2 linked regions of the Drosophila melanogaster genome follow. The protein of the gene in region 1 interacts with the protein of each later gene in a pairwise test. Each region holds a gene or a part of one and is shown in the gene's direction. Other genes may lie near its edges.

Region 1 (3,924 bases):
CCACCTTTTTCTTGGCTTAGTCCGAGTGTGTTCTTGAAGACGCCCCAATCGTCCTTGGGCCCAGTCTTGGCTGGATTCTTCTCCGCGCTCTTGATGTAGAGAGCCAGGCAGCTTTGCTGGATGGCCGCCAGCAAAATCAGAATGATAGCTTTTCCCAACTGCATCTTCAGATCGATGTGCTTCGTTCGGTGGTTGTGGCGAATGTGATGTCCTGTGCTCCTGCGTAGCTACCCTTATATACCTCGATCCTTTCGGACTGATCCGCATCCGCGTTAATTGACATAACCGCACATCAGCGTTGCGTGGCTGCGATAATCAGACAATGGCTGCAAAGGCGCTTGACACTCGAGACATCCGGGGCGCCTGCGCAAGGACCACTTTTGGCCAAGGAGTCAGCCCAGGACGACATGTGCTTGATTGAACCTCCGACGCGCAGCGCCTGCCTTTGTTTTTCTAGGGAACACTTAGCGCGAGCCGCGGCAATTAAACGGCAAACTGAGCGCACACAAAAATTAGTGCTTACGCATCTTGCCTCAGACGGCGGCCAGGTAGACCGCGTCCAGTCCTCAGTCCTTGCCACAGGACCAAGCTGGACGAGGCAGAGCAAGGCGACACCCAACGACAGGCGACTACTAGCGGCCAATGTGGGAATCAAAGTGCGTAATTGAGTCGCTTAAAAGCGCCAAATGGTTTCATGAATGTACCGCTCTCACCAGGCTCACCAGGTAGACGCTCGCCTTTCAAATGCGAAAGGAAGTACAAATAAATCCTAGCGCCAGCCATAAACGGATCAACTGCGCCGATCTCAATCCGCTGGTCTCCGCTCCTGCTCATCGACAAGTTCTGCGCTCGCTAATTATTCCTGAATGCGGGTTTTATTGATGCAATATAAATAATGCAAATGCAATTTGTGGTGCATGCAGACAAGGGGGTGGTCCCTAAAAAATGTGCCATCTAAGTAAGCCATTGCCACTGTCGCTGCCACTGCAGCTGCGGAAGACCAGCATTGAGTTTTCGACGGGTAATTATGTAATATGCATAATGACAATAAATAAAGTTAGTCGAAATATACATATGTATGTATGTAGGTAACCAGGGAAAAGATTAGGTTGAATGTGGAATTAGCTTTATTTAAATTAAATCAACAAAAAATGCACAAGGTGAAGAAGTAGTTCTATATATTATATCAATTTTTCACATTTAAAATATGTGACTTGTCATACAATTTACCAAATATTTATAAGTAGGGAAGTTTTGTGCCTTCTGTGCTATAATACAAATATAACTTTGATACATTCCATCAAATTTTATAGAAAATAGCTATTGAAAAAATAGCTAATTGAAAATGACTAGCGAAATGAATGGAAATTAAATAGTTTTTTATTTTCTTAAAATATAGCTATGCCTTAATATTCAAGGCTAAAAAGCAGTAGGTAATCAATCGTTCAAGGGCTTACCTACTATTTTAAAAATACTAATGTCAATTTTAAAGTTATTCTCTTCATGACATGAAGCTTACTACTATTCTTTTGCTAAAAGGTGATGGCCATATGCTATTCACAACCTGCTTGCTCTATTTTAAAAATGTTCGTTACAAAAAGACTTTTGGGTAAAATTGTTACCCTACTTCAATTTTACATGTAGACACTTAACCGAGAAAAAAGCAGTAGAAATTGATATACGAAGCAGGGTAAAGAAGTTCAAATCTAATGCCAAAGCAGTTACAAACCAGTACAACGGTTATTTAGCCCAGACGCAAACCAGAATCAGGAAGTAAAGTAATGTAAAGTAAAGTTTTCAACCGGAAGAAGGAAATGTTCGTTCTTATAAGAAGTTATTTCAAGCGAAACCCACACAAAACTAATTAGAATTACGAAAGTTTTTTAAGCAAATTACAATTTTTATATATTTTATTTGCTACAATGAACAGACTAGCACAACACAATACATATTTCAATTTCTGTCACATCTAGCCGTTAAAATATATATTTTTCTACAAACACCGTAGTTATAGAAACGAAGTTTCTTGTTTATTATTTTAAAGAGCCGGCAATTGTAACCACGCCAAAATGCCGAAAGTACTGTTTCAGAAGTACAAGAAGGTGGTGAGCAACATCGACCCGAGTCGCTATAGCGCCAAGTTCAAGGAAATCGACGAGCAGAGGCGCTCGCAAGGTTCGGAATCGGATTTTGCAGATGAAATGGAGGGCGAGTTCGAGGCGGAAATGGAGGAAATGGGATCTAGTGAATTTAGTTTATCCGAAGGAGAACCATCGCTCAATATCGGAAAGATCGATTTATCCTTTCCCGAAACAGTCGAGGAGTTCGAAAACAGTCCCCAGTGCTATCCTCCATCGTACTATACCCTCTCGCCCAAGGAGCGGTTGCTCCTGCTGTACGCTGAGAATTTCCGGAAGCAATTGGTTCTCAGCTACCCAAAGAGACGAGCCATGGTCTTGGCCCTGCCCAACGAATGCAAAGTACAGGTGAAGTCAGCACCATCTGCTCCTTTAGTGGCCAGCGTTTTGATAAATTGCCACTCTTAACCAACTTACAGAAATTCGTTTGCACCACCATCAGGCCAACGGCGTTTATTTACACGCAACTCATATCAAGTGTCGAGGAAATTGCCAAGTTTGTCGCCGATTTCATTCAGTATGAGCCACTGCAGGATCCCATAAATTTGGTAAGTCTATTATGGCAAAGTTGAACCAATCACATATCCATTATTCTTATGTTCCGAGCTCATGTAGCAATATATTTAAAAGTTTATGCGTTCTAAAATGTTCAATAACTTGACCAAGGCAATTTATACTTGTAAATATAAAAGTAAAACATTTAGGTATTTTAGTAGATATATATGAAAAACCACTTAGACCCTCCAATACGACAGCGGTAAGTAAATACGACGACAGTTCTAAGAGTTTCATAAAAATTATCTAATTATTTTTTATTGAACATGTATTTAAAATTACATTTAAATTTGTAAATGTTTTTATTTAAATATCGCATTAATTCCGAATTAAGAAAATTCTTTTGAGCACATTTCCATAGTTATTAATATACGAAATTTAAAAACGTTTGATATCAAATGCATGCCATTCGCGCCAACACACCTTGCAGTTCGAAAAGTATTTTTTCTTTTTCGTAACAAAAACTAAGGGCTATAACATTTTTCTAGAATGCATCATTGGGTGAAAAAACAAACTAACAAAACAGAGTCGGTTGTCTTTCCGTTCAAAAAGAAATGCATAATAGCTACAAATAGAGTTTCTCGATATATACACGTTAACCGTACGATTAATTAATTAATACAATGCAATGCAATGCAATGGAGTGGATTCGAATTGAATTGAAAGATACTGAAAGTATGCTCGATAGGTTTCACAGCTAGGAGATAAATTCAGTGGAGTCCTCCGGATGCGTGGAACCATGTGGTCTAACTGCTGGAGCTCAGTTCGTCGTACTGCTGGTACTCGCCCGTGATCTGGCAGTCGTCGGGGTCATCGTCGAGGTCACAATGTACAAATTCGTAGGGAGGGAAGAACAGGGAGCTGAGTAGGGTGGCCGACGATCGGTAGACGGCCGGCGCATAGACATGGCACCTCGTCGAGCCCTCGGCGGTATCTGCATTTGCATCTGTAGCCAGGACACCGGGTCCTGGCTCTGCATCGTGCAGAGCACCGTCTGGGCTATCCTCTATCTCTGTATCCGTGGCTGGCTCCGTGGGCGCCAACTTTGGCTTTTCCTATTTGCGACGGCGACTCTTGCCCCGCCCACTGCCCTCCTCCTCCGCGGCGTGCTCCTCGCTGTCCTCCGGCAAAGCGGATTTCTCGATCATCGGTGTCTCGTTGCCCGACTTGATGGCGGCTATTAGGAAACGAAGTTGCATCAGCTGCACGGCCGTCACGCGGGGATTGCTGC
Region 2 (3,924 bases), on another chromosome or scaffold:
TGGGTCCAGTTCGAAAGTAGTAGCCCAAGGTCTTGATGGTGGCCTCCAAATATCCGTGTGAACAAAGCCAAACACCGGGACAAGTGAGCTGAAAATGGAAGGAGCCTTGATGTCACAGGTACACTTCAATCGACATAGCCACAAACCGCATGGAGCTGCAGATCTAACTTTACGTAGAATCTCTTGTGGGACATTTGCTGCCTGATCCTAAGTGAAAGTCTGCCGGAAAATAGCCAACTGCTTGGGGCGGGAATCGAGAATTGGGGGGCGAAAGCGCATGGTTCTTTGTTTTGGAGCCCACTGGTTGCCGGGGCAGCGGTTGAAAGTGAATTTCAAAGTCGATTACTGGTCGATAACGCAGGGAATTTTGATTGATAAGCAAAAGAGTTGAAAGTGATGTGTATAGAATGTATAGTGTAACTATACAATGTGAAGAGTACTTAAAGAATTGAATAGTTTTTGAATTAATTAAGAAATAATACAAAAATATGATAGTAAAATACTAAAAAAAATCTATTTTAGAATAATTAGCTAACTCACATTTTTCCATGTTTTCATTTTCTATAGCTTTAACTACTGATAATACGGCTTCCGTGGGAACAAAGTATTTCTCACAGTGATAGCAGCAACCGATAGGAAATCCCGACCACAATGTGCATCACTAGTCACAGCAATAGTAAACAGCGGGCACAGTCCACAAAGAAAACCATTGCCGCCGGTAGAGATGGCTGCAGTTTCGGATATTCCAGTGCACCTGCCCAAGCTGCTGGCTCTGTTCAAGACGGTGGTGCCCAAGCTGGTGAACAACAAGCACAAGGGACAGTACGGACGCATTGGAGTGATCGGTGGGTCCCTGGAGTACACCGGAGCGCCGTACTTCGCGGCCATTTCCTCGATAAGAGTGGGCGCTGACCTGGCGCATGTGTTCTGCCATTCAAATGCGTCGGCCATTATCAAGTCCTACAGTCCCGATCTTATCGTGCATCCAGTGCTAGACTGTGTGGATGCAGTGGAGAGAATAGCGCCCTGGTTAGAGCGACTTCACGTCGTTGTGAGTAGCCCCCCCCCCCCACCTACATACGTATATGCTACATTTATACAATTAAATGCTAAATTTAGAATCGTTAAGGTTATTGGACCTGGACTGGGTCGGGAGCCGGGCATCCTGAAGACGGCATCCAACGTACTCAAGCTGTGCATGGACACCAAGAAACCAGTTGTCATAGACGCCGATGGACTGTTTCTGCTCAACGACAATCTGAATCTGATCTGTGGACAGCCGAATGTCATACTCACGCCAAATGTCATGGAGTTCCAGAGACTGTTTGGCGAGGATGACCAGGCGGCGCGCCAGAAAATGTCCCTCCTGGGAGCCGGAGTAACTGTCCTGGAGAAGGGCGCCAACGACAAGATCTATCTCCCTCACTGCAACGAAGTTCACTCAATGCCTAGCGGCGGTTCCGGTCGCAGGTGCGGTGGACAAGGTGACCTGCTCTCCGGATCTTTGGCCACCTTCTTCTCGTGGTCACTGCAGTCGGGTGAACCCAATCCCGCCCTGGTAGCTGCATGTGCCTCTAGTTACTTTGTGAAAAAGTTAAACGCGGCTGCATTTCAAAAGTTTGGCCGCAGCCTACTGGCCAGTGACATGGTCAATCAAATACCCAGCGTATTTCAGACCGAGTTCGAAAACAGCGATCCTCAATAGTCATTTACTGGACTTTGAACTAATTCCAGCTGTTTGTTTTTTAAAACAAGGCGACCATTAACCGAATTTTCAATTATCGTGGGATTTTTAATGTCTTTAACAGAGAACATATTGGAATGGATAGAAATGTTATGGGAATTTTTTAATTGCATTTAAACAACGTAAGAACATCTGGTTCGTTAATTTGAAAGCTGCATCTTGTTACAGATAAAATGTTTCGGCATTCATAATAAAACCATATTGATTCAATTTTAATAAACCGTTTAAGCATGACTTCTGTTTTAATAAACAAATAAAATAAAATAAAAGTTTTTTTTAAATGTATGTAGGATAATAAATCATAAAAAAGAAAATAGATTTGATATAGATTATTTTAAAGGTATTGGCGGGAAAAAGCTAAGTCGTCGGTTCCGTTCGGTTGTTGGTGTTTTGCAGCACTGGTCTTCTCGCGAGCGGCATTTCCACGTCAGGTTTATTATTGTTTTTTTGGAATTTATCAAGCAGTGAAAATGCTCCTCAAAAGACTGCCTGGCTTTGTAACACTCTGGGTCGTCCTGCAGTTAGCCGGAGCTGATTCGCCCGAGGAGGAGCAAGGCGTTCGCTACGCAAACCGCTGCGAAGCCTGCAAAATCCTGGCCACCGAATTGGAAGCTCGACTTGGAGAGACCGGCAAGTCGCACGACGTCATCGAAATCGGATACTCCGTTGACGATGTGAAGCCCAAGAAGCGCACTGAATACCGGCGCAGCGAACTGCGACTGCTCGAGTCCCTGGAGAACGTGTGCGAGCGAGTGTTGGAGTACAATCTGCACAAGGAACGCTCTGACAGCACGAGATTCGCCAAAGGTATGTCCCAGACCTTCCAGACGCTCCATGGCCTTGTGGACAAGGGCGTCAAGGTGGATCTGGGAATACCCTACGAGCTGTGGGACAAGCCCCCGGTGGAGGTCACCCAAATGAAGACCCAGTGCGAAAACCTACTGGAGGAGTACGAGGAAACCATCAGCGAATGGTACTTTAAGCACCAGGATGAGAAGTCACTGAAGAAGCATCTCTGCGAGGACCATGTGCTCAAGAAAAAGGCCGAAAGGGAATGCCTCAAGGAGCAGCTTGCTCCTCCGGAGGCTAAAAAGGCCAAAAGGGAAAAAGCCAAGGGCGACAAGGAGGAGCTGTGAGCCAAATAATCCAAGTATATCCTAGGAATCCCTACCATATTGTAATTCCATGTCGAAAAATGTAGATGTAGTGCAGCTGTTGTCGATGCAATTTTTAAAAGTAACACAAATTTTAGTTTTTGAATGAACTCAAGCATTGACAAACTAAATGTAGTAGTTACTTAAATTCCAATGATCTTACTTTTTTTCGAAATGGAAATCATTTTAAGTTTTACCACCTATAGAACAAAGCGAAAAGTGTTTAATTAGCTTAAGTGAACTCACTATGTCTCTCAAGCTAATCTGTATAACTTCCACAACGACTGAGCCACAGAATGCTACTGAAAGTTTCGCCTGGGGCCATTGGCTTATTGATTTCGGCCACGAATTGGGGTCGACAATTAAAAGTTGACTGCCCTCAATGAGGTGGCCAGTCATAACCCCCAGCCAGAAATTCAGGTGTTCATGCCATGTCCATGTCAATAAATGAGATTTTGCGCATTTTCTAGGAACCTACGGCACTGAATGGAAGAGAGTTATCCTTAAATACATGTACATTTTATAACTAACATTTAGTATTTACGATTAAATATAGATTATCTGTGCATACACATTTTGATTTTACTGGGGCACCTAATATGTCGTTTAAAAGGTATCTCGTCGCGAAACCTTTCAAAGTTTAAAAACAAATTATTTTGAATATACCCAATTTGCATTAAATGAGTTTGTTTAATTGTCTGTAATAAATACTTCGCGTATATTTCAAAGTAAAAAATATTATTATAATTAGTATTGGATTTTCCATCATTAGGTTCTAATTCGAAATCACTACGGGTATCTTTTAGTCGTGGAGTTTTCCCGCCCAAACGAGTTTTGTAAATTCAGAATCTAATTCGCAGTGGCGGGCGAAAGAACCCCTAGTTATCCATAAGCTTAGAGCTTCATCACATCCCAAGGATCGTCCATATAGTGCAGGATGGCTTTGTCGTGCAGTCTTTCGCCAAAAACCTCCTTAAGCAGGCGTAGAACGCATTCCTCAATGAATGCCACCTGATCCTGGGGGCA

Evidence for each region.
Region 2: the proteins of lobo (region 1) and CNPYb interact in a two-hybrid assay, tested with the Drosophila melanogaster proteins (one large-scale study listed by BioGRID).

Annotation. Positions count from the first base shown.
Region 1 is NT_033777.3:25,191,800-25,195,723, reverse strand, and holds the start of lobo (lost boys), read left to right. Parts: upstream 1-1,947; 5' UTR 1,948-2,069; coding exon 2,070-2,486; intron 2,487-2,557; coding exon 2,558-2,686; intron 2,687-2,917; exon of another isoform or gene 2,918-3,439; coding exon of another isoform or gene 3,440-3,924. Other genes in the region: CG13653 (uncharacterized protein), read right to left, coding at 5-164; dan (distal antenna), read right to left, coding at 3,749-3,924. UniProt on the Drosophila melanogaster protein: Key component of the nexin-dynein regulatory complex (N-DRC), essential for N-DRC integrity. Involved in the regulation of flagellar motility. Involved in sperm motility. Required for the sperm to enter in the coiled storage seminal receptacle (SR) tubule.
Region 2 is NT_037436.4:19,094,433-19,098,356, reverse strand, and holds CNPYb (canopy b), read left to right. Parts: upstream 1-2,139; 5' UTR 2,140-2,214; coding exon 2,215-2,880; 3' UTR 2,881-3,467; downstream 3,468-3,924. Other genes in the region: CG14079 (uncharacterized protein), read right to left, coding at 1-88, 147-194; Naxd (NAD(P)HX dehydratase), read left to right, coding at 725-1,051, 1,130-1,705; MESR6 (misexpression suppressor of ras 6), read right to left, coding at 3,793-3,924.